Arabidopsis thaliana: one gene and its partners. The protein of the gene in region 1 interacts with the protein of each later gene in a biochemical or structural test. Each region holds a gene or a part of one and is shown in the gene's direction. Other genes may lie near its edges.

What was found.
Region 2: the proteins of AT4G36860 (region 1) and TCP15 form a complex in vitro, tested with the Arabidopsis thaliana proteins (one study listed by BioGRID).
Region 3: the proteins of AT4G36860 (region 1) and TCP14 form a complex in vitro, tested with the Arabidopsis thaliana proteins (one study listed by BioGRID).
Region 4: the proteins of AT4G36860 (region 1) and UBQ3 form a complex in vitro, tested with the Arabidopsis thaliana proteins (one study listed by BioGRID).

What each region holds. Positions count from the first base shown.
Region 1 is NC_003075.7:17,357,530-17,364,735, reverse strand, and holds AT4G36860 (LIM domain-containing protein), read left to right. Parts: upstream 1-2,621; 5' UTR 2,622-3,060; intron 3,061-3,526; 5' UTR 3,527-3,546; coding exon 3,547-3,835; intron 3,836-3,950; coding exon 3,951-4,296; intron 4,297-4,428; coding exon 4,429-4,549; intron 4,550-4,631; coding exon 4,632-4,715; intron 4,716-4,815; coding exon 4,816-4,935; intron 4,936-5,033; coding exon 5,034-5,246; intron 5,247-5,340; coding exon 5,341-5,403; intron 5,404-5,479; coding exon 5,480-5,598; intron 5,599-5,685; coding exon 5,686-5,744; coding exon of another isoform or gene 5,745-5,779; exon of another isoform or gene 5,780-5,836; coding exon 5,837-6,156; 3' UTR 6,157-6,365; downstream 6,366-7,206. UniProt on the Arabidopsis thaliana protein: Acts redundantly with DA1 and DAR2 to regulate endoreduplication during leaf development.
Region 2 is NC_003070.9:26,214,364-26,219,896, forward strand, and holds TCP15 (TCP family transcription factor), read left to right. Parts: upstream 1-1,645; 5' UTR 1,646-2,085; coding exon 2,086-3,063; 3' UTR 3,064-3,708; downstream 3,709-5,533. UniProt on the Arabidopsis thaliana protein: Transcription factor involved the regulation of plant development. Together with TCP14, modulates plant stature by promoting cell division in young internodes. Represses cell proliferation in developing leaf blade and specific floral tissues.
Region 3 is NC_003074.8:17,556,304-17,562,550, forward strand, and holds TCP14 (TEOSINTE BRANCHED, cycloidea and PCF (TCP) 14), read left to right. Parts: upstream 1-2,489; 5' UTR 2,490-2,700; coding exon 2,701-4,170; 3' UTR 4,171-4,956; downstream 4,957-6,247. UniProt on the Arabidopsis thaliana protein: Transcription factor involved the regulation of plant development. Binds to the Up1 elements (5'-GGCCCAWW-3') in early light-induced proteins (ELIPs, e.g.
Region 4 is NC_003076.8:771,105-776,500, reverse strand, and holds UBQ3 (polyubiquitin 3), read left to right. Parts: upstream 1-2,987; 5' UTR 2,988-3,229; exon of another isoform or gene 3,230-3,604; coding exon 3,605-4,525; 3' UTR 4,526-4,841; downstream 4,842-5,396. Other genes in the region: AT5G03250 (Phototropic-responsive NPH3 family protein), read right to left, coding at 1-71, 146-1,369, 1,482-1,551, 1,852-1,910.

The sequences.
Region 1 (7,206 bases):
TATATCAAATGAAATAAGTTAAAATTGATGATTCGTATGAGATCTGAAATCATATATATATTCAAGAATATGCAACGCCTTATCTTGAAAGGTTTGTTAAGTTCATGATTCATGAATAATGTATATCAAAACTCACTAATCGCTCATCTAAATTAAAACTGTATATGGACCATCGAGTCAACGGACCTTTCTTCCAATTTCATCAATATAGAAGTAAAAAGTATCAACTATTGATAATATATGTGTGAACCTATATTAGAAGTTACCATTGGGCAATAGTTGGTTAAATAAAGCAAAAATTGTCATCAAATGAAGAAAAACAAAAGAAGCAAAATGTTTTTATGTGCGAAGGTCCAAGGGACCAACATTCTCATGGTCTTCTGTCACCACATTTTTTCAATATTATCTTTCCAATTATTATTGTTTATTTCTTTATTTATTTTGCATCTAAAGAGTATAATTTAAACCTTAATACAATTACAACAACCTCTACGAATTCATATCATTTATTTCCTTGTCTAGATTCATATACCACCAATAATTAGCTAGGACCATTTGTTATAGTAGCTTTTTGGATATCTTGACCATTTTGTTATAATGTTTTTGTATATATATATATAAATACATAAGAAAATATTATACAAAACACTTAATTCAGTTCTTTTATGTATAAGGACCGTAGTGTTATATCTCTAATATTTATATAAATCGTAGATGAACACGGAGTAACATTTTTTGATAAACATGTTTAGGAGATATCTGTACTTTGCAATTAAATTATGATGAATGATTTATTGGTAGTGACTAAATTATAGAAGTCCCCAATGGAAAAAAGAAGCAGCGAACCAGTCACACCGTCGTTGTAATCTACAACTAAAAAAATGCTTGATTTATTTTTCCTTATCAATATGTTTTCAAAATGAAAACGTGTACATATAAAAAAAATGGTCCTAAGAGACATATTAATTTTGATTGGTCCACCTGGAAAACCGGCAAGGGATGGCCATGGCCACGTGGGATTTGTGGTCCATGCTGGGATCAACGTTCCTCAATGTGCCACGTGTTTTGATCATCCAGCGTGACAGCCTGTGTTTTCAACTTTTCATCACCAAGCTTCAAAATCTTTTTTACTCTTTTTATTTTTATGCTTAAAAATAATTTAGAAATTGATATGGTCGAAGAGTAATAATAACTTCTCTTGTCAAAAGGGAGTAATTATATAATATGAAAATGGATTTTTGTCAATACATAAATTTTTATTTTCTAAATTAACTGTTTTGTTTTTTTCAACATGATTTCTCTGTTTTCTATTTGATTCAACGGCGCATTTTTTTAAAATGAAAATTGTTTGTAGCTCAATATTAAAGATATTATCGTCAAAAATTGTTAGACAAAAAAAAAAAAAACCCAGCCCACAATCATTATATGATATATGGCCACTGATAATACAACTATCTGTAACTGATTTAAACTTAAAAATTATTCTACAATAAGGGTTTTGATTCGTCGGCCCAAATTTACCATATGGGCCTTAAGAAGCCTGGTTAAAATATATGGCCACTGGATAATACAACTATCTTTCTTTCTTTTTTTCTTTAGTAATATATGGCATCAGTATTAGTGTCAATGATTTATAGATGTGAATAAAGTGAAATTTTTGGAAAGCTAATTGATAACTTTGATGACCAATATATAACAAATAAGTTTGTCTATTGCAGTACTTTAATTCATTGCTTGCGTAAGAAGTGAGTGGGATCACAATTTAAAGAACGTCACTTGATTCAACTACTACTAAAATAAAACAATCAGAAAAAAAAAATATTAACAGAGGAAAATAAAATATCCTGGAGTAGTTGAATCATCTTGCTAAGCACCTAATTTTGATAAAACTTGCGGTGGCACAGTAAGTTTGGGCACCTAAACAACTAATTGATTGGCTAATCACAATATACACGTTTTTTTTTTCACATGTGGTTTTATATTGAACCCACCGAATTCTCTTGATCCTTCTAACAAAATTTAATCTCAACCACAAAAATAAAATAATAATATATATAAGAAACTGTAATGTACAATTGTGATTAGCAATGGGTCATCTCATCTAATTATCCAGATAATATTGTCTATATTTTTCCAATTAATTTGGTCGTATGTAACTAAATAATGCATTAGGTTGAGCTAAATAAAGTATTAGATAACCTTACCTACTAACAATTTTCAATGATTTTTTTCAGTTTCTATATTTCTGCTTTGTATTTTTGTGTAAAATTGGGTTTACAGACCAGGGGATTTCGAACAGGGTGATGTGTTGGACACAAAATTTATTCCATTCATGTGCGAGTTATTATTCATTGAAGTATATTAAACTTTTGTTTTATTTTACTTTTTTCTATTAATTTTAATTAAAAATTTGATGTGAAAGAAAAAAACGGTATTTTATTGTGAATAGTAAAAGTCATGAGCAAAATCATCAACTTAGGAGTGTTGAAAAAAGGCTAAAGAAGAGTAAATTAGAGGAGAGTCAAAGATTGTGTGTCACTAGTGTTAATGCTAGTAAACATCAGCTCTTTTTTTTCTTCTCTCTTAATTTTTCAAACATTTGATTTCTATAAACCTTCTTAATAATTTCTTCCGTAAAATAATATGATTAGTTTTTTTTTTTGTAAACAAGTGCCCACTTGCTTGACCTTCCCAACCAAAAAAAACGTAACAATTTCCATCATCTTCTCCATAAAGTTCTTACCTTTAAGTGTGTTTAATGGAGATTTATCCTCTACTCATCTCTCTCTCTCTATTCTGTTCCATTTATTAAGCTTTCTTCACGCTTTTTAAGATAATTAACAGTCACGGGTTCTAAAAGCTAAAGGGTTTTGCTTCGAATTCAAGTGTCTCCCTTCACTTTCTCTCTCTCTATTGCTGCTCTGTTTCTGCTGTCAATTCCCTAAGAAAGTCCTGATTTTTAGGGTGATCGAGAGAAGTTGAAGAATCATGTTTATTGAGTTTCCTTTTTTGATCCATAGGGTCATCTAATTTTGCTAATTTTATTGTCATCTCCTTCAGGTAATTTGCGATTTCTCTTTACTCTGTTTTTGACTTGTACTTAGATTCCTTTTCTTTAACAGTAATAAACTTCATAAAGATTTCATTTTTCTTCTTATGGGTATTTGGAATGATGAATGTAGATTAGGTTGATTGTTTTGAGGATGATGTGGATAATCTTTTTCTGGATATTATTACAATTTAGGGTCTTGAGATTGTTTGTAATAAGCTCCGTACTTTGGTTCCTTATTTTCAATTCAGTCTTTAAGATTTCGGTAACCCTTTTATATTTGATGCAATCTCCCTATAATAATACCTTCTTCAATTGCTGTTTTGCCATTTGCATATTATTTAACTTTCTTTGTTGGATCAGTCTGATTCTTTCTTACCAATTATTGTCTTAATCCTTGATTAAGGAAAAACAAAAAAACAAAAGACATGGAGTTTCTTCTCTTTCTTGGATGTATAACAGTGTTTCTCTATGCAGGTAAGGGATTGTTGTTGCCAATGGGGTGGCTAACTAAAATCCTTAAAGGTTCTAGCCATAAGTTTTCTGATGGACAATGTAATGGAAGATATAGAGAAGATAGAAACTTGGAAGGTCCTCGTTATTCTGCGGTAAGTGAACTTTACTGTTTTTTGGTTCATTTTGAATTGAAGATAAAAGGGTTTCTTGAATTTCTGATTCAGGAAGGATCTGATTTTGACAAAGAGGAGATTGAATGTGCTATTGCACTTTCTCTTTCTGAACAAGAACATGTAATTCCACAAGATGACAAAGGAAAGAAAATAATCGGTAATGTTGTTTAATTCTCCGTTGGTAATGCATAGAGAAAAACAAAGAGAAGAAAGAAAGTTATGTGTGGAAATGTAACTTGCTTAAATTGTTTCTTAAACCTTATATTCTGTAGAGTACAAATCTGAAACCGAAGAAGATGACGATGACGATGAGGATGAGGATGAAGAATACATGAGAGCTCAGCTAGAAGCAGCAGAGGAAGAGGAAAGACGGGTAGCTCAAGCTCAAATCGAGGAAGAAGAGAAAAGGAGAGCTGAAGCTCAACTAGAAGAAACAGAGAAACTGCTTGCAAAAGCTCGATTAGAAGAGGAAGAAATGAGGCGTTCTAAAGCCCAACTGGAGGAAGATGAGCTACTCGCCAAGGCCCTTCAAGAAAGTATGAATGTGGGATCTCCTCCTCGATATGATCCAGGAAATATACTTCAACCATATCCCTTCCTCATTCCTTCTAGTCACAGGTAAATGGTTCAAAAATACATTAATGTCCATTTCTTAGATTTTCAGACACTATCATCTCTAGATAGTGATATGATGCATGATCACATTAGCTCCAATGAGTCAATTTTGTTTCTTTGTTTATTTTCTTGGAGGATATGTGTCGGTTGCCAAGCTGAGATAGGACATGGAAGGTTTCTGAGTTGCATGGGTGGCGTTTGGCATCCTGAATGTTTCTGTTGCAATGCATGTGATAAGCCCATCATAGATTATGAGGTCCCTATACATTTTATTAAGTATTATTATTGTATCCTCCTGATTCTTTTGAAGCTTAACCTGTTCAAGCTTTGTTTTACAGTTCTCAATGTCAGGAAATCGGCCTTATCACAAATTATGTTACAAGGAGCAGCATCATCCTAAATGTGATGTTTGCCATAACTTTGTGAGTGATAGCCAACTTCTGTTGATCTCTATATTTTACCCAAAATTTGTTCCCAGGTTGTACTAAGCTTAATGTGTATGTATAAATGTAACTCCTCTAGATTCCGACAAATCCAGCTGGTCTTATTGAGTATAGGGCACATCCCTTTTGGATGCAAAAGTATTGTCCTTCACATGAGCGTGATGGAACTCCTCGGTGTTGCAGTTGTGAGCGAATGGAGGTCAGTTGTTCGATATAGCATTTCTGTTAATAGGAAAATAAATTTAAGAATCTGATTCGAAAACCAGATGTTGTTCTGTTTTTGGCTCATGGTTTCAGCCAAAAGATACAAAATATCTCATTCTTGATGATGGTCGAAAACTGTGTCTTGAATGTCTCGACTCAGCCATTATGGACACTCATGAATGCCAACCATTGTACCTTGAGATACGTGAATTTTACGAAGGCTTACATATGAAAGTGGAACAGCAAATTCCTATGCTTTTGGTGGAGAGATCAGCTCTAAACGAAGCTATGGAAGGAGAGAAACACGTAAAACCTCTATATCTTATTGATACTATGTTTATACTCTCTCTTTCTCTCTCGCTCATTTGTTTCAACCTACTTCTATCTAATTTTGCTGCAGGGACATCATCATTTACCTGAAACTAGAGGACTTTGTTTGTCTGAAGAACAAACTGTCACCACGGTATTCATTCTTCCAAGTTTGTAATGAATTGCTATCCACCACAAATTGCTTCTGAATCAGAAAGATGTTGATATAGGTGTTAAGGAGACCAAGAATTGGGGCAGGCTACAAGTTAATAGACATGATCACAGAGCCTTGCAGGCTGATACGTCGTTGTGAAGTCACTGCGATTCTCATTTTATATGGACTTCCTCGGTAAAAGAAAAACACTTCTCAACACACTCCTAAACCAAATTTTTGTCTTTATAAGATATCTAAAATTTTCGTATTACACTTGTACAGTTTGTTAACCGGGTCAATCCTTGCTCATGAGATGATGCATGCATGGCTTCGACTAAATGGTAATCTGAAGAACACTCCCTTCTCATTATGTTGAGCAATTGAACGTAGGGAAATATCAAAAAATGTTTTGTTGCTCTGTGTATATCTGTAGGGTATCCAAATCTTAGACCAGAAGTGGAAGAAGGAATATGTCAAGTTTTAGCACACATGTGGTTGGAATCTGAGACTTATGCTGGCTCTACATTAGTAGACATCGCATCTTCTTCATCATCTGCTGTGGTGTCAGCATCGTCCAAGAAAGGTGAGAGGTCTGATTTTGAGAAGAAACTTGGTGAGTTTTTCAAGCATCAAATCGAGTCGGATTCTTCATCGGCATATGGGGATGGGTTCAGGCAAGGTAACCAAGCAGTTCTTAAGCATGGTCTGAGGCGAACCCTCGACCATATTCGCTTGACCGGTACATTTCCTTAAATGGAATTTAAACTATAAAAAGAGAGAAAACAAGCTTTGTTATAGTTTTTTAGAGTATAGACTTGAGAAGAAAAGAAAAAGAAAAATGTATAGGTTACAACAATACACACATTTAAGTGTCATAAAGTTTCCACTTTTTAAGTAAAAAATCAAGAGTCAAGAAACAAGACCAAAAATTCTTGGCTTGGTTTTTATCTTTTTTTGCCAAACGTTTTGCTTGTTATTTCTTAGATAGCAAATTATTCTGTTTTCAAAATCTAAATTACTACAATCACTAGTTTGACTTCATCATATCTGGACCAGTGGATAAAAGTATGAAAGATAAGGAAAATCCGAAAATGGATAGACTTGTATATCCACAATTCCACATTATATCATAATATGTACTGTATATTATGGCTCTTCTATTCGCTGAGAGGACGAAGGTCAAATATGTAGAATGTAGAAGTATCCTCATATTGACCTGTCTAACTAGATTAATATTATAGTATGCATGCTTGCCATCTGTTAATTAAAATACAGACATTGTGAAAAAATACACTCCATGCTCTCTATCTTTCTATCGTTTGTAAAATGATATTTTGTTGATCAAAACTACTATGGTCTACAAGATCGTGTAAAACAACATTCAAGTAACTTAGTATTATGGGAAGATGAGTTCTCTCGATCGAGATGTTCAGTCAATTCTCTAGAGTATAAAAAACGAAAACGTCTCAAGTCAATTGTCAATCATTAATTTCCAAATATAAATATTAGACATTATCAACAAATGATGATAAAGAGATACAAAAAACATTGTGAAGATGTGGGATATGAGGATAAACATAGAGAGATAGGATGATATATTCACACGTGTTTCCCACTTCCTCATCCAACTTGTCGCGGCGCCTCGTCGCCGTTTCTTTCTTCTCTCTTTGGTTTTTTTTTCTAAAACATTTTCTCTATCAAGCGTTTATGTTTCAACAAATTTTATTTAAGCTAATGTTTTTTCTTATAACCAAATCAAAATTTTATTCATCGATATAGAAATTAATGGTTTTTTGCTAATAT
Region 2 (5,533 bases), on another chromosome or scaffold:
ATTCATAATATCTTCTGATCATATTTGTGAATCGTAATTGTTTTGCTTTTTAGATTTGTCAAATATGCACAACACCTTTTAACTATCAATTCGTTTTCTTTTCTGTTTAGTCTTTGATATATAGTTTTCTTGATATTTTGATTGGTTTACTAATTACTACAAGCAGGCCGATACTTTTAGTTATTTATATTTTACGAGGGAAAATTATGGTCAATGAACATATTCTAGTTAAAACATAAAAAGATATCACATATATAAGTAATTAAAATATAAAATTTTGTCATTTGTAAATATGTTTGGGCGAAAATGTTTGGACATCCCATAGGTTTTATGTGGCTATGCGTAAAGTTTCTAATAGTTAGACTAATCAACGTTCCTAAGAGATCATCAGAACTAGTTACACCTTACACGTAACGTTAATGATTCGTCTAAACTAAGAGACGATAATTAGCCACAATAGAAAATACTATATTTTGATTTTTGAGAAGTTTTATCTTCATAAAGCTTAGACATTTGAAAAAGAATAGTAAGATTATAACAAATATATTTTACAATTTTCAATATATACTAAGAAAGATGAATTTGCCTAAACTCAAAATTAATATGTGTAAGAATTTTTATAATTGGTTTTCTCCATTTCTTTTAACAAAATCATATGTATATTCAAATATACTACCTGGCAATTATTATATGCATGCTTATGTTGGTTTATGTAATAACTTGGATTTATTTTGTTACACTCAATTTCTATAAAACACAAATTTGAGATTTTTAAAAAATATTTATTTAAAATATCTTCATAATAATTCGAATTTACTTTTATATTATTTTTTTCTTTTGTATTCTCTAATTCAATTATATTTTTAACGTTACCATATATATATATATATATATATATATATATATATTACGCTGGTCCTAATTAGTAGTATAATCTATGTAACACCGTATATTTTGATTCTTTGAACAGCTTATATGAATAATCATCACATAAGAAGGAGCCTTCTTCATCACTATTCACTACATATAAAAATTCGTTTCAGAAAAAAAAGATCAATGTTCTGTCCACATCAGAGTATCAAAATAATTTTCTAAATTTAGTGCTACATCTTTTAACGACAATTGTATGTCAATGAGATAACTCCAATGGTGGAAACAAAAGAGAAGCATTACAAATTTGCTTTTATATATCTATAAAGCACTGTAACTATGGTTTTATAAATAATAATATCAAACTGGTAACTCATTCAAGAGTCACAGAGGAGAAAAAACAATCCATCTGTTTCATAAAAAAAGCAGTTGGATTCTATTATATCATGTGGATCTCGTGAACTACCATAGAGCCATGGATTAATCACTGTCATTCTGTCAATAATAATTCTATCTATTTATTATTCTGTTGTCACATATGTACAAAATATATGTAAACTTCTCAGTTCTGTCTGAATCGCTGAAATTTTCGCTAAATGTGCAATTAATTTCCCGATCGCTTGAAGTTAACAGTTACGACGAGAAACTGACGTCACTTTTTAATTATTGTAAAGAATGAAAAAGAGTGTTCGTATAGGGTAATTGTATTATTGTAAAAAACTATGTATCCAAACACAATAAATACACGAACAACATTTATTTTCACTCACTTTGATCACTGTACGTAATAAGGAAAAACATTTTATTTGAATGAATATTTGTACAGATTGGAGAACCACGTAAGCCCATCTCTTTTATTTCCAAAAATAACGAAAAATTCTCAAAGGGAATAGTTTATAATGTAAATAAAATTCCAAAAATAAAACACAAAAGATATAAAGCAGCAAGAGAAAAAAAAAGTCCATGCTTTCATATTCATTGCTTTAATCTCTCTCTCTCTCTCAGACATAGACACAGCTAAGCTTCCCATCTGAAAGGAGTTTCATGTCCTAAGGACCATATTATAACCTCTCTATCTCTCTCTAAGTATCAGCAAAAAAACAGAGATTTATAGAGAGAGAAAAAAACTATGGCTCACATAAAGATCTAACAGAGACAGTAGTATAGTCCCACTTCCCCACCACCAAAGCTTCGATCATCATCATCATCATCATCATGGATCCGGATCCGGATCATAACCATCGACCCAACTTCCCTCTCCAGCTTCTTGATTCTTCTACCTCCTCCTCTTCCACTTCCTTAGCCATCATCTCTACTACTTCCGAACCTAACTCCGAACCTAAGAAGCCTCCTCCTAAACGAACCTCTACTAAAGACCGACACACCAAAGTCGAAGGCCGAGGCCGTCGGATCCGTATGCCTGCCATGTGTGCTGCACGTGTCTTTCAGCTCACACGTGAGCTTGGTCACAAATCCGACGGTGAAACTATTGAGTGGCTACTCCAACAAGCAGAACCAGCGGTTATAGCCGCTACAGGGACTGGAACCATTCCGGCTAACTTCACTTCTTTAAACATCTCACTTCGTAGCTCAAGATCTTCTCTCTCTGCTGCTCATCTTCGTACAACTCCTAGTAGCTATTACTTTCATTCACCACATCAGTCCATGACTCATCATCTTCAACATCAGCATCAGGTTCGTCCCAAGAACGAGTCACATTCTTCGTCTTCTTCTTCTTCACAGCTTTTAGATCACAACCAAATGGGTAACTATCTAGTACAATCAACTGCTGGATCTTTACCTACGAGTCAGAGTCCTGCAACGGCACCGTTTTGGAGTAGTGGTGACAACACACAGAATCTTTGGGCTTTTAATATTAATCCTCATCATTCCGGTGTTGTCGCCGGAGATGTTTACAACCCCAACAGTGGTGGTAGTGGCGGCGGTAGTGGAGTTCATTTGATGAATTTTGCAGCTCCTATTGCTTTGTTTTCTGGACAGCCTTTGGCTTCTGGTTATGGAGGAGGAGGAGGTGGCGGTGGAGAACATAGCCATTATGGAGTTTTAGCGGCGTTGAATGCTGCTTACCGACCGGTGGCGGAGACGGGGAACCATAACAACAACCAGCAAAACCGTGACGGAGATCATCATCACAACCATCAAGAAGATGGAAGCACCAGTCATCATTCCTAGGCAAACATACACAAACAAATATATTCTGTGAGATTTATTTTTCTTTTTTTGTCCTTTCGTTTGTTTGTTTGTTCTTAACAAGCGTGTTTTTTTTGCATTGCTTCTTTTTCATATATTTTTATTTATTTCTAAATTCTAATATTCTACGGATTTCATCTTGTTTATTTTTCTGATTAATGTATTGAGTAAGTAATTAAGAACCTGATAATCGATATGTTTTAGTTTGTGGTTTTTGCATGCAAGGCTTTGGTTTTATTATTCTAGAGATTTTTGCTTGAAGTAGTTGTCTTGTGAAATGTTTTCCTCATTACTATTGAGTGTGAGAGTTTTCTAATACTTGATTAGGGTTTTTGAACAATTTTTATATATGTATATTAATTCAGTACGGATTATCAATAAATTATTTCGCATGCCAAATTATTATCTTCCACTTCGTTCATGGTTACATTGTCTCGAAGAAGCTACATCTTATGCATTGTGAGCAATTATTCAGGTTCTAGCTATCTCTTTTAATATGTTAATTTCTTTGCATGATTAACATCTTACTCCTGACTGGTCTATTGGTGACTATGCTAAGATAATGTAGATATATATAGTAACAAAATCATATAGGTCAAAGCATTAAGTGTGATTGTTTTGGTTAATTATAAGTGTGTTGACGAGGGGATGCATTGTAGATATGATGCCATATTAATGCCAGTAGGTTTATGCGCATGGTGGTTTGGATACGTTCAATTTATAGCCGTTGCAAAAATTGAAGGCATTTAATTTTGCTAATGATATTACCAAAATTATTTGATTATGAATCAAAAGATACAAGGAGAATTATCAAAAAAAAAATATATAGGTCCATTATCCGTATAAGGTAGCTAAGAACTTAATTAGTCTGGTGCTATGTTTGAAGACTCACGTACGATTTACAATCTCTGGATCTATGAAACTCATCACCAAGCAGGAACCTGTATTTATACGTCAATATTTGTGAATTTTCGGATACCCAAAAAATACCAAGAATATATATTTCATTTTCTGCTGAAAATCAGAGAAAAATGTGTTTTAAAAACAATGTCTATAAACAAATTTATAGATTGAAGTTAGAACTAAAAACTTTTGATGGTTATAGATTTCAGCTTGATCATTTATTTCTGAAGTGTTTTCGTTGGATGAAACATAGATTATATATGTCTATAATTAATTGAGACATATACATTGATGATATACAAAATAACCAGGAATTTTTCGTTATACAGAAAAATACACAAGTCTATGTAACATGCGTAATAACCATATGGTCCATATCGCTGCATTTTGTGTCGGTCTACATTATTGGATTTATTTTAGTATAATGTATGTGATACGTTCTTACCATGCATGGGTATACATAGAGAAAGGTGTATAAATCAACGAGCATGGGAATTATGACGTTAATAATTCTAAAATAATGCACACACATCCTGTTAATATAAACAATATAAATTATATATCAGTTTATTATGGAAATAATACTTGAAACTTCTATAGATCGGTGTGAACCATTCCTTGACATCATAGGCATGTCGGTTATATAACCTCATCCATATGTTCTATCAATTAATCAAATATGGTAATTAAAGAAAGTCAAATATTGTGACATACATGCATTTTTTTTTACTAACGGTTGATATCAAGCATTTATAGACGAACGTCTATTTGATGATCTCAATAATCATATCAATTGGCGGCTAAACTAAACTAGATTTCACGATGACAAAAGTAAAATGTATATATAGACACTAAAACACAGATGATGTCATGAATCTTTTTTGATATTTGTATATTATTGTTTACGTATTACTTTCTAGATAAACAATAAGATACGAGTCATGACCGATCATTGTTTCTATGTCGGCGTTTTATTTTATAGTAAAAAGAAATCTGCAACAAAAGGAAAGGGCACAACAAGTAGATCAAGTAGTAGTAATCTGGCATTACTCAATAGGTCCAAAAGGAATTAAAATGTTCACTAAAGTATGCTTAAAATATAGATGTATGGATCTACGTAGTTATAAGTAGTTAAGTACCATTATAGAAGAGTGTATTCATGTGGGTTCTTTGTTTTTGATCTGGAAAAGATTAGATGATCATCATTCCATCACTTGCTTATCTATTTTGTTTAATCATTCTTCTTCTTCACTATAATCATTCTATATATTTCTGGAAGATATCATGATAAAGAAGATATATTTATCTATAATCACAAAATGTTTTGAACCTTTTCATTTATGAAAGAAAAAGAACTAATTAGATGATACTTTTCTAAGTTCCAGCCCAGTTTGGATAGTGAATATATTTTCTCCATCCCCATTGATTGGTATTGATGGGCTAGATATATGACATGGGATCTCATAAGGCCTATTTATTAAATGTTTTGTAAGGCCCACGTATTGGGCTAAGAGAAAAAAAAAAGAGAGTACTCAAGTATAGGTTTGTG
Region 3 (6,247 bases), on another chromosome or scaffold:
AACATATTCTCTAATTATATGAATCATCCTATTGATATATTCCAAATTTTGAATACATATATAGTACTATATATTATCAGAGACGGATCGTAGTACGAAAAGTTTCTTTTAAGTTTAGATATTACATAAGAACATTAACTGTAAAAGAAAGTATTAGTAATTGTTTATATGATTCTGTCAAGTAACTACGATATAAATTTATTTCAGTTCAGCAGATGTGTTTTACTATTAACTATACAAAATGGTGACACTCGGTAGTCGGTATCTAAACATTTTTGCTGGTACGTATCCAAATTCTAGTTACTTGAAATATCGATGAGATCAATCATCAATATAAATATTACAACAATATACTATCTATTCTAACACAAAGTGTGTATATACTATATTACTATCTAGCTAAGGGCGGGTAGGTCCGGTATCGATCACCCTATTAAAATCAAATTTCAAGAGTATATATATATATAGTAAACCTGCCTGTAAAATGATACTTAAAATGTTAGATTCAATCTTCCAACAATAATTTATTCATTACAATGCAAGTACGTATGTGACTATTGGGGGTGTTAATTATTTCTTACATAAAGGAATAATTATAATTTACAGGACTCATGGTAAGTAATATTTATAATTTAGACCGACCACTTGTGTTTCTGTCATTTTACATTTATGAATATGAACAATCCATTTGATTCCGTCCTAGGTGGGAGTAGACTGCAATCTACAATAATTAATTTATAGTACAAAACCAATTGATTAGTGAATTGGTTTAAGTTATTAAACTAAAAGAAGTAATTATTCAAGGTTGAGCCCTAGCTATAGTGCCAGATATTTTTAATTAAATCCTAATTAAGCATTTAATTAAGACCCCAATAGACGAAACGAAAGCAAGTACCATCATCATATATAATCATGCATATTTATCAAAGTTTTATATTTTATAACAAGAGAGGGAATCCCAAAGCTATCATCATCATCCACATTTACTCTACCATACTTTCGATTCTTTATGCTCTTTTTATAATCTTAATTGTTGTTGAAACTTTTGCTTCTTTATTTTAAATATACGTTTATGGTGCTTATTTAAACAACAAATATGTAATACGTCGAAACAGTTTGTAATATGTGTACGTAATATTAAACTATATCATTTCTTCGAATAATAACACATATCACATATCATATGTTATTTACAAAAATTCTTCATCAAATACATTCATTAACATATATATATATATTTATATATATGACATCTATGATCATATATTTTTATTTTTATCAAAATAGTCATAGTTTCCATATGTATTATTAATAGAGTTTAGTTTACAATATTTCAAAGCCTTAATAAGTAGTTCTTTTACTTTGAAAAAACAAAAATAGACATTTATAATAGAAAAACAGAGAGGTTGGTTAAAATGCTAAAAGTCTCATTTTATTCATACTTTTAGTTTTTTCTTTTTTTTTTGAAAAACCCTATTTATTTGATAACATACATAAATCAACTTTTGGGCAGTGGTGTTACATACCATAGTTCTTCACTTTTTTTGTATAGAGATTTGCTATCTGATTAAATAAAAACGAATAATGCTTGGGTTTAAAATTGTGAATAACAATGATAATGTTTCTAGTTTCCGGCAAAAGTAGCAGGGGAAGAATGATTACGTGAATGATGTAGGACCCAAAACGTTTTGAAATAAATTACTAAATTTTTGACCAAATTGAGTTGTTTAATTTGGAGAGGAGTGTTGGCCCCATCACTCTCTCGTCGACCTCTCCATTGTCTTTATGGAATGAATGATAAAAGAGGACACCTCACGTGGACTCTGCTGCCACAACGACTCTCTCCAACCATATCCCCTTCACATATATGACATATTTTTCTTACATTTACTATATATTAAAGACTCCACATTGTACATTTTTTCATCTCATTTATTAACGCAACGTTCAGATTTTTCCATTTTTAACTAGTCGTGAAAAGTATTTTCGTTGTACGGTGAATATTGTAGCCCTTTTTTACGGTGGGTGTTTTTTTTTTCATTTGATTGATGAGTAAATCTACATCGAGAAAAGAATATAATGAAAGATATACCGAAATCTTTTGATTATGGACAGATTTATTTTGTTTAAACCTTTTTTTTTTTTTACTGTTTTAAAAAGTTGACTAAATGCTTATCTGAGAAAATAATTAACGTGAAAAATAATTTGATATAATTCGGATTAAGTTAACTATAACAGACTGATTTTGATTGAGCAGAAATTAACGTTGAAATATTCACATTGGCTAATTACATCAATTCATTTTTGCGTTGATTAAATGACACTTTCTTTTCTTCAACTATTAAATGATATTCCCATTGTTGACATTTCTCTAAGTATATGATTTTAAGTAATTTTCATAAAGAAGCAATGAACAGTATTTTCATTTGAAAAAAAAAAGATATGTAATGAGATTTTTCTTTTAATTTTTTAATGTTATGTAAAGCTCACCCATATAATTCTCACTCATGATCTTTGTTTCTTTAAGCTTTTCTTCTCCATTGTCTCTCTCTTTCTTATCCTCTCTTTCTCAATCAATTCCTTCAGACTTATACACTTTATTTTTTTTCCCCTCTTGTCGAAAACATCACATATAAATAAAAAACCAAAAACCCTAATTTATAAAATATATATAAAATAGTTATAGCTCCCCACTTATATATGCAAAAGCCAACATCAAGTATCTTAAATGTCATAATGGACGGTGGAGACAGCGTCGGAGGAGGAGGAGGAGATGATCACCACCGTCACCTCCACCATCACCACCGCCCTACTTTCCCTTTTCAACTACTCGGAAAACACGACCCCGACGACAACCATCAACAACAACCTTCCCCTTCCTCCTCCTCCTCTCTATTTTCTCTCCATCAACACCAACAATTATCTCAATCGCAACCTCAATCGCAATCGCAAAAGTCACAACCGCAGACAACGCAAAAAGAGTTATTACAAACGCAAGAGGAATCTGCGGTGGTGGCAGCTAAAAAGCCACCGTTGAAACGAGCGTCGACGAAAGACCGACACACGAAAGTAGACGGAAGAGGGAGGAGAATAAGGATGCCGGCGTTATGTGCAGCTAGGGTTTTTCAGCTAACGCGAGAGCTAGGTCATAAATCCGACGGTGAGACAATAGAGTGGCTTCTTCAACAAGCTGAACCATCTGTAATCGCCGCCACCGGAACCGGAACAATCCCGGCGAATTTCACTTCTTTAAACATCTCTCTCCGTTCTTCAGGCTCTTCCATGTCTCTTCCTTCTCATTTCCGCTCCGCCGCTTCCACTTTTAGCCCTAATAACATATTTTCTCCGGCGATGCTTCAACAACAACAACAACAACAACGTGGTGGTGGTGTTGGGTTTCATCATCCCCATCTACAGGGACGTGCACCTACGTCGTCTTTGTTTCCTGGTATTGATAACTTCACACCAACGACGTCGTTTTTGAACTTTCATAATCCAACAAAGCAAGAAGGAGATCAAGATTCTGAAGAGTTAAACTCGGAGAAGAAAAGAAGAATCCAAACGACGTCGGATTTGCATCAACAACAACAACAACACCAACATGATCAAATCGGAGGATATACACTTCAATCTAGCAACAGTGGATCTACAGCCACCGCAGCCGCCGCGCAACAAATACCGGGAAATTTCTGGATGGTTGCGGCGGCTGCGGCTGCAGGTGGTGGTGGTGGTAATAACAACCAAACAGGTGGTCTTATGACAGCTTCTATTGGTACTGGTGGCGGCGGTGGAGAGCCTGTTTGGACGTTTCCTTCCATTAACACGGCAGCGGCAGCGTTATATAGAAGTGGCGTTTCGGGCGTTCCAAGCGGCGCGGTTTCTAGCGGTTTACATTTTATGAATTTCGCAGCGCCAATGGCATTTCTTACTGGACAACAACAGCTAGCAACAACTAGTAATCATGAGATTAATGAAGATAGTAATAATAATGAAGGAGGAAGAAGTGACGGTGGTGGTGATCATCATAATACACAGAGACATCATCATCATCAACAACAACATCATCATAATATTCTCTCCGGCTTGAACCAGTACGGACGGCAAGTTTCCGGCGACTCTCAAGCTAGTGGATCACTTGGAGGTGGTGATGAGGAGGATCAGCAAGATTAGACACACACAAAAACATTTTAACGGTGGGATTTTCTGCCGACGGCGGTAGCGGTGACGGCGTTCGGCGGCTGTGTAAAACTTTTGTTTTCACCGTTAATTTTTTTTATTTTCTGTAGTAATTTTTTTTGCTAAGTAAAAAAAAAAAAAAAAACACGTGAGATTTTCTTTTTAATTTTGATTTTTTTACTTGATTTTAAATTTGATTTTTCTTGTGAGTGAGTGATTAAATAGTACACGAGATTTTTTATGTCAGGTTTTTTGGATTTTGAGGAGAATATGACACTTTTTTTTATCATTATTGTTTTTAATTGTTTTTTTTCTTCTTCTGATAGTGTCACTGTCGTCTCGATTCTCAATCATCTTCGTTTTCTTTATCCATTAAGAAATTAATTATACATAAAGAAAAATTCTAAAAAGTATTCGTCAAACAATGTTGGTTCCTATAGTAATAATAGTAACATATACATCAAAGTATAATCTTACTGTTTTTTTAGTAACATTACGTTTTTTTAAGTGTTAATACAAAAAAAATTGAGAAACTATTTTATCAAGGAATGAGATGGGCCTCTCTCTATTGGCCCACCAATCTCTGTTATATTTGGCCCTTGAAGTAGTTGTTTCAAAGCTAATAGAAAACAGCAAAGTGTCTCGTTTGTTTTACATGGTCGAACGAAAACGATACAAAAAACATAAAAATATCTCGTTTGATCTTATATGCTATGAAATATATTAAATGCTTTTTTTAGTATATGATTCATTTTATCTCTGTTTCTTTGTCGTTTGTCCCCACTAAACAATCAATCTGATTTTGTATATGATGAGATATCTAATACTATTATATCATGATATTGTTAAAACTGGTTTTGTATATGATGATAATATTATATCAAGACTAGTTTAGACTATGAGAATTAATTAGAAAGTGATATAGTTTGAATGTCGCGTACAAAGTTATGGCTCAAAATTTTGTTTCTTTTTTTTTGACGAAGTACACCAAAAATATTTGATTGTTTCAGTATATTCTTTTTGTGTTTGTATGCCTTTAGAAAGTAATATTAACAATTTGTAAATTGATAGTGTTTAATTAGAACATAATTTACTTTATAAAATCTATTATTATGTTGTGAAAGAAAATATTCACTCAACATCGATCGGTCATATATTCAAGAATCAAGATAAATAATCTGAAGTTTTAAAAATCTGTTTTCGCATGGGTTAAATATAAGTTTTTACAAAAAGGATGAAGACAGAAAACAAATAAAAATAAATGTGAATGCAGACTATATAATATATCATTGAATGTATAAATTATACAAATTCAATAAGTAGAGAAAGAGAGAGAGAGAGAGAGATTGATTGTGGTGCATTAACAAAAAAGAGATTGATTGTGGTGGTGACATGAGGACTGTAGCATTGTAAGGGTCGTGGGACCTAAAACGTTATCAGGTGCAGTGATTGTCGTGTGGACCTCTTTGATTCTCTCATCTCCGTAACCAACGTTCACTTTTTTCCCTCACTGACACCAACAAAATTCTTTCTCTTCTCTTTTCTTTTTCACCACACTCGATCGCTGTAATTAAATATGGCAACACCATTTACCACCATTTACCACCATATACTTTCATATTTCGTTCTGTCTTGTAAACTACATCTGTCAAAGGGATATGAAATGTATATATAATCATATAGTATACATCATCGGACTTGAAGGTTTAGTTACGGAAAGAAAATTTCAACACTAATGTTTGAAATTCGTACGTAATAAACCAATGGATGACACTATTATTATTGTATATATTTATAAATTCTCATGTTGTCATTATGTATTATAGCTAACTCCGATCTAATGTTTTAAATTCGTAATAAATTAATAAACACAGTTTTTGTATATAGTTATAATTCTCACGTTGTCATTATATCATATAGCTAACCCCGATCTCATGTTTTAAATTCGTAATAAATTAATGTATGTCACTACAGTTCTGTATATATTTATAAATTCCCACATTCTAATTATATGATATATACTTCGAGCTAGTGATTCATATTCGTAATAAATGAATGGATGATGTGCTAG
Region 4 (5,396 bases), on another chromosome or scaffold:
AATGAGAGCTTCTGGCAATTCATGAGTCTGCATATGTGCTCTCTCTCTGAATCAGTAATCCACGGATGCGCCTGCAAAATTTGCAATCCAGCATCAAAATCTTAATACATGGACTGGTTAAAATTAGAAACAGTATCTTTATTACCTTCAGGTACACGTCAATTGCGTGATAAACTCCATCATCTAGTGGCCTTGCATAGTCAGGGATTGCAGCAGCAATGGCTTCGAACTTCGCCAGCTTCAGGTTCACATCGGGTGCCACCTCAGCAAGATAACCGTCAACAAGAGTTGCCACTAACGTTGTTGGAGTTAGCAAATCAGCTCCATCCTTCACCAAATGTCCTTCTTCGATGATGCAAGGAGAAGGGACAATGCCTGCTTGTTCCGTTGACGAAACAAACTGTTCGATCATTCTCAAGACGCATTCAACATCGTAAAGCGTTTCAGAGTATCCCATGTTTGGTATAAGAAGATCAACTAGAGCAGCTTGGTCTAACTGATTTCCAATTCGTCTCTCCAGATTCTCCCTCGAGGATTGGCTTGCGTGAAGCACCATTGCAGTTTGAAGCAGCCTGAGAAGAAACTTGGTCGGGTTTACACCTTTCTTGCTTGGAAGCAACCCGACAATCTCTTCAAGACAAGTTTTTTGGTCTTCTTCAGAAGGATTTGGTGTCTCAATCACTTGCTCATCCATGTTTACTTGTCTATTCATCAGAGGAACATGTTTCCTTGTATAGTACATAACCGCCATCGCTATATTCTCGAGCTTCATGCCACGTGCTTCAATAGCGGTAATGAGTCTTTTAAAGAGAGGCAAGCTAAGAAAAGAAGCGTCATCAAACCACCAATCTTCACCAGTATGTTGCAGCATCTTTCCAGAGGCAGAGATTCCATTCCACAAATGCGATTCATCTTCAGTGTTCTGCCCGCTCGTTGCGTTCTTTCCTCCTCCCACGGGCCAATTGAAAAGGCTTGGATCAGCGCACGCTTTGACAGCTAACGAATCAACACACCTGGAGATAATGTGAAGATCTTCAGCGTAATCAATCACTTCCTCACATGTCTGAAGAGCTTTGATCGAGTCAGTCCAGTTCCCAAACACCTCGTTGAGGAAAGTCTCAGTCATACCAACAAGATTCCCTTCTCCATAGTTATCAGTCATCTCAAGGTACTCAGCTGCACATCTAAGGCTAACAACATTGAAAGCAGTAAGCTCAATTTTCACACCGTAGCAGAATTTGGTAACAAGCTCAAACGTTTTGCCGCCTCCCGGTATCTCATCTAAGCTCAACACACAGCCTGATCCATCATCAGTTGAAGACTCTTCGATTAACCTCTCAAGAAGCCCACTTCTAGATAGTAACGGAAACTACACACAAATCAAGAACACACATTACACAGTTAGATCATCAAGCTTTCACATTTATGCAATTACATCAAAACTAGGACTAAATAAACAGAGAAGATAGAGAAAATTTAACCTTGTGGAGATGAAACTTCATGTCTCCAACTTCAATGGTAACATCACTCACGAGTCCTGTAGTGCAAAGCCTGTAAGACAAGAGAGAGACATAAACCACCACCCAAAACAGAATATACTTGTCCGTACAAAATTGATTATTGATGTCACAAATCAATCAGAGCTAAATTCCAAAAAAAATATGATCTTTGAAACTTGCATCAATAACTAACGATTCTAGGAAGAGCCCATTTCGATTTCAACAAAAAGATGAGAGCTTGATTACATATAAAATCAAGAGAAATTAACGACATTGAAGAGAATTCGATCTCGAAACCGGAAACAAAGACTTATAAGTCGATTAGTCTAATTCAATGCAGAAGAAAGAATACCAGGTTTGGCCTTCACGATGGAAAGCTTCGGATTTGGAGCCAAGTCTCATAAACGCCATTGTGGAAGAAAGTCTTGAGTTGGTGGTAATGTAACAGAGTAGTAAGAACAGAGAAGAGAGAGAGTGTGAGATACATGAATTGTCGGGCAACAAAAATCCTGAACATCTTATTTTAGCAAAGAGAAAGAGTTCCGAGTCTGTAGCAGAAGAGTGAGGAGAAATTTAAGCTCTTGGACTTGTGAATTGTTCCGCCTCTTGAATACTTCTTCAATCCTCATATATTCTTCTTCTATGTTACCTGAAAACCGGCATTTAATCTCGCGGGTTTATTCCGGTTCAACATTTTTTTTGTTTTGAGTTATTATCTGGGCTTAATAACGCAGGCCTGAAATAAATTCAAGGCCCAACTGTTTTTTTTTTTAAGAAGTTGCTGTTAAAAAAAAAAAAAGGGAATTAACAACAACAACAAAAAAAGATAAAGAAAATAATAACAATTACTTTAATTGTAGACTAAAAAAACATAGATTTTATCATGAAAAAAAGAGAAAAGAAATAAAAACTTGGATCAAAAAAAAAAACATACAGATCTTCTAATTATTAACTTTTCTTAAAAATTAGGTCCTTTTTCCCAACAATTAGGTTTAGAGTTTTGGAATTAAACCAAAAAGATTGTTCTAAAAAATACTCAAATTTGGTAGATAAGTTTCCTTATTTTAATTAGTCAATGGTAGATACTTTTTTTTCTTTTCTTTATTAGAGTAGATTAGAATCTTTTATGCCAAGTATTGATAAATTAAATCAAGAAGATAAACTATCATAATCAACATGAAATTAAAAGAAAAATCTCATATATAGTATTAGTATTCTCTATATATATTATGATTGCTTATTCTTAATGGGTTGGGTTAACCAAGACATAGTCTTAATGGAAAGAATCTTTTTTGAACTTTTTCCTTATTGATTAAATTCTTCTATAGAAAAGAAAGAAATTATTTGAGGAAAAGTATATACAAAAAGAAAAATAGAAAAATGTCAGTGAAGCAGATGTAATGGATGACCTAATCCAACCACCACCATAGGATGTTTCTACTTGAGTCGGTCTTTTAAAAACGCACGGTGGAAAATATGACACGTATCATATGATTCCTTCCTTTAGTTTCGTGATAATAATCCTCAACTGATATCTTCCTTTTTTTGTTTTGGCTAAAGATATTTTATTCTCATTAATAGAAAAGACGGTTTTGGGCTTTTGGTTTGCGATATAAAGAAGACCTTCGTGTGGAAGATAATAATTCATCCTTTCGTCTTTTTCTGACTCTTCAATCTCTCCCAAAGCCTAAAGCGATCTCTGCAAATCTCTCGCGACTCTCTCTTTCAAGGTATATTTTCTGATTCTTTTTGTTTTTGATTCGTATCTGATCTCCAATTTTTGTTATGTGGATTATTGAATCTTTTGTATAAATTGCTTTTGACAATATTGTTCGTTTCGTCAATCCAGCTTCTAAATTTTGTCCTGATTACTAAGATATCGATTCGTAGTGTTTACATCTGTGTAATTTCTTGCTTGATTGTGAAATTAGGATTTTCAAGGACGATCTATTCAATTTTTGTGTTTTCTTTGTTCGATTCTCTCTGTTTTAGGTTTCTTATGTTTAGATCCGTTTCTCTTTGGTGTTGTTTTGATTTCTCTTACGGCTTTTGATTTGGTATATGTTCGCTGATTGGTTTCTACTTGTTCTATTGTTTTATTTCAGATGCAAATCTTCGTGAAAACACTCACTGGCAAGACTATCACTCTCGAGGTTGAGAGCTCTGACACCATCGACAATGTTAAGGCAAAGATTCAGGACAAGGAAGGCATTCCTCCGGATCAGCAAAGATTAATATTCGCCGGTAAACAGCTAGAAGATGGCCGTACCTTGGCCGATTACAACATTCAGAAAGAATCAACCCTTCATTTGGTTCTCCGTTTAAGAGGTGGTATGCAAATCTTTGTCAAGACTCTGACTGGCAAGACCATTACTTTGGAGGTTGAGAGCTCTGACACTATTGACAACGTCAAAGCAAAGATCCAGGACAAGGAAGGAATCCCTCCGGATCAGCAGAGACTTATCTTTGCCGGTAAGCAGCTTGAAGACGGAAGAACTCTTGCTGACTACAACATTCAAAAGGAGTCGACCCTTCATTTGGTGCTTCGTCTCAGAGGTGGTATGCAAATCTTTGTCAAGACCCTCACTGGTAAAACAATCACCCTTGAGGTTGAGAGTTCAGACACCATTGACAATGTCAAAGCTAAGATCCAAGATAAAGAGGGAATTCCTCCGGATCAGCAGAGGCTTATCTTTGCCGGTAAGCAGCTCGAAGATGGACGCACCCTTGCAGATTACAACATCCAAAAGGAGTCGACACTTCATCTTGTGCTTCGTCTCCGTGGTGGTATGCAGATCTTTGTGAAGACCCTTACCGGAAAGACCATTACTCTGGAGGTTGAAAGCTCAGACACCATCGATAATGTCAAGGCTAAGATTCAGGACAAGGAAGGGATCCCACCAGACCAACAGAGACTCATCTTCGCTGGAAAACAGCTTGAGGATGGTCGCACACTTGCAGATTACAACATCCAGAAGGAGTCGACTCTTCACTTGGTTCTTCGTCTTCGTGGTGGAAGCTTCTAAGCTTTTTGTGATCTGATGATAAGTGGTTGGTTCGTGTCTCATGCACTTGGGAGGTGATCTATTTCACCTGGTGTAGTTTGTGTTTCCGTCAGTTGGAAAAACTTATCCCTATCGATTTCGTTTTCATTTTCTGCTTTTCTTTTATGTACCTTCGTTTGGGCTTGTAACGGGCCTTTGTATTTCAACTCTCAATAATAATCCAAGTGCATGTTAAACAATTTGTCATCTGTTTCGGCTTTGATATACTACTGGTGAAGATGGGCCGTACTACTGCATCACAACGAAAAATAATAATAAGATGAAAAACTTGAAGTGGAAAAAAAAAAAAACTTGAATGTTCACTACTACTCATTGACCATAATGTTTAACATACATAGCTCAATAGTATTTTTGTGAATATGGCAACACAAACAGTCCAAAACAATTGTCTCTTACTATACCAAACCAAGGGCGCCGCTTGTTTGCCACTCTTTGTGTGCAATAGTGTGATTACCACATCTCCACATTCAATATATTCCCTGAATTATCTGACGATTTTGATGGCTCACTGTTTTCCCAAGTCTTGAATTGTCTTCTGTGCGCCAGTCAAATGCATATGTGTTGAGTTTATCTTTTAAATATCAAGCTTTTGTTTTTAACTTTTGTTTGTAACCAAAAACTCACAGTAGGAGTTTGATCACATAATTTTATGTTTGCCTTTGCAATTTCTAGTGAGTCTTTGATTAAAAGCTTGAAAAGAAAATGCAGCCAAGCTTACCAAGTAAGTTATGTGTATTAACCAGAGGAAGAGAGAATCTTGCAAAATTTCAACAAACACAAAAAGAAGTATTACTACGATTGGTGGAGAAAGAAAACGATTCCAAATCTTGAA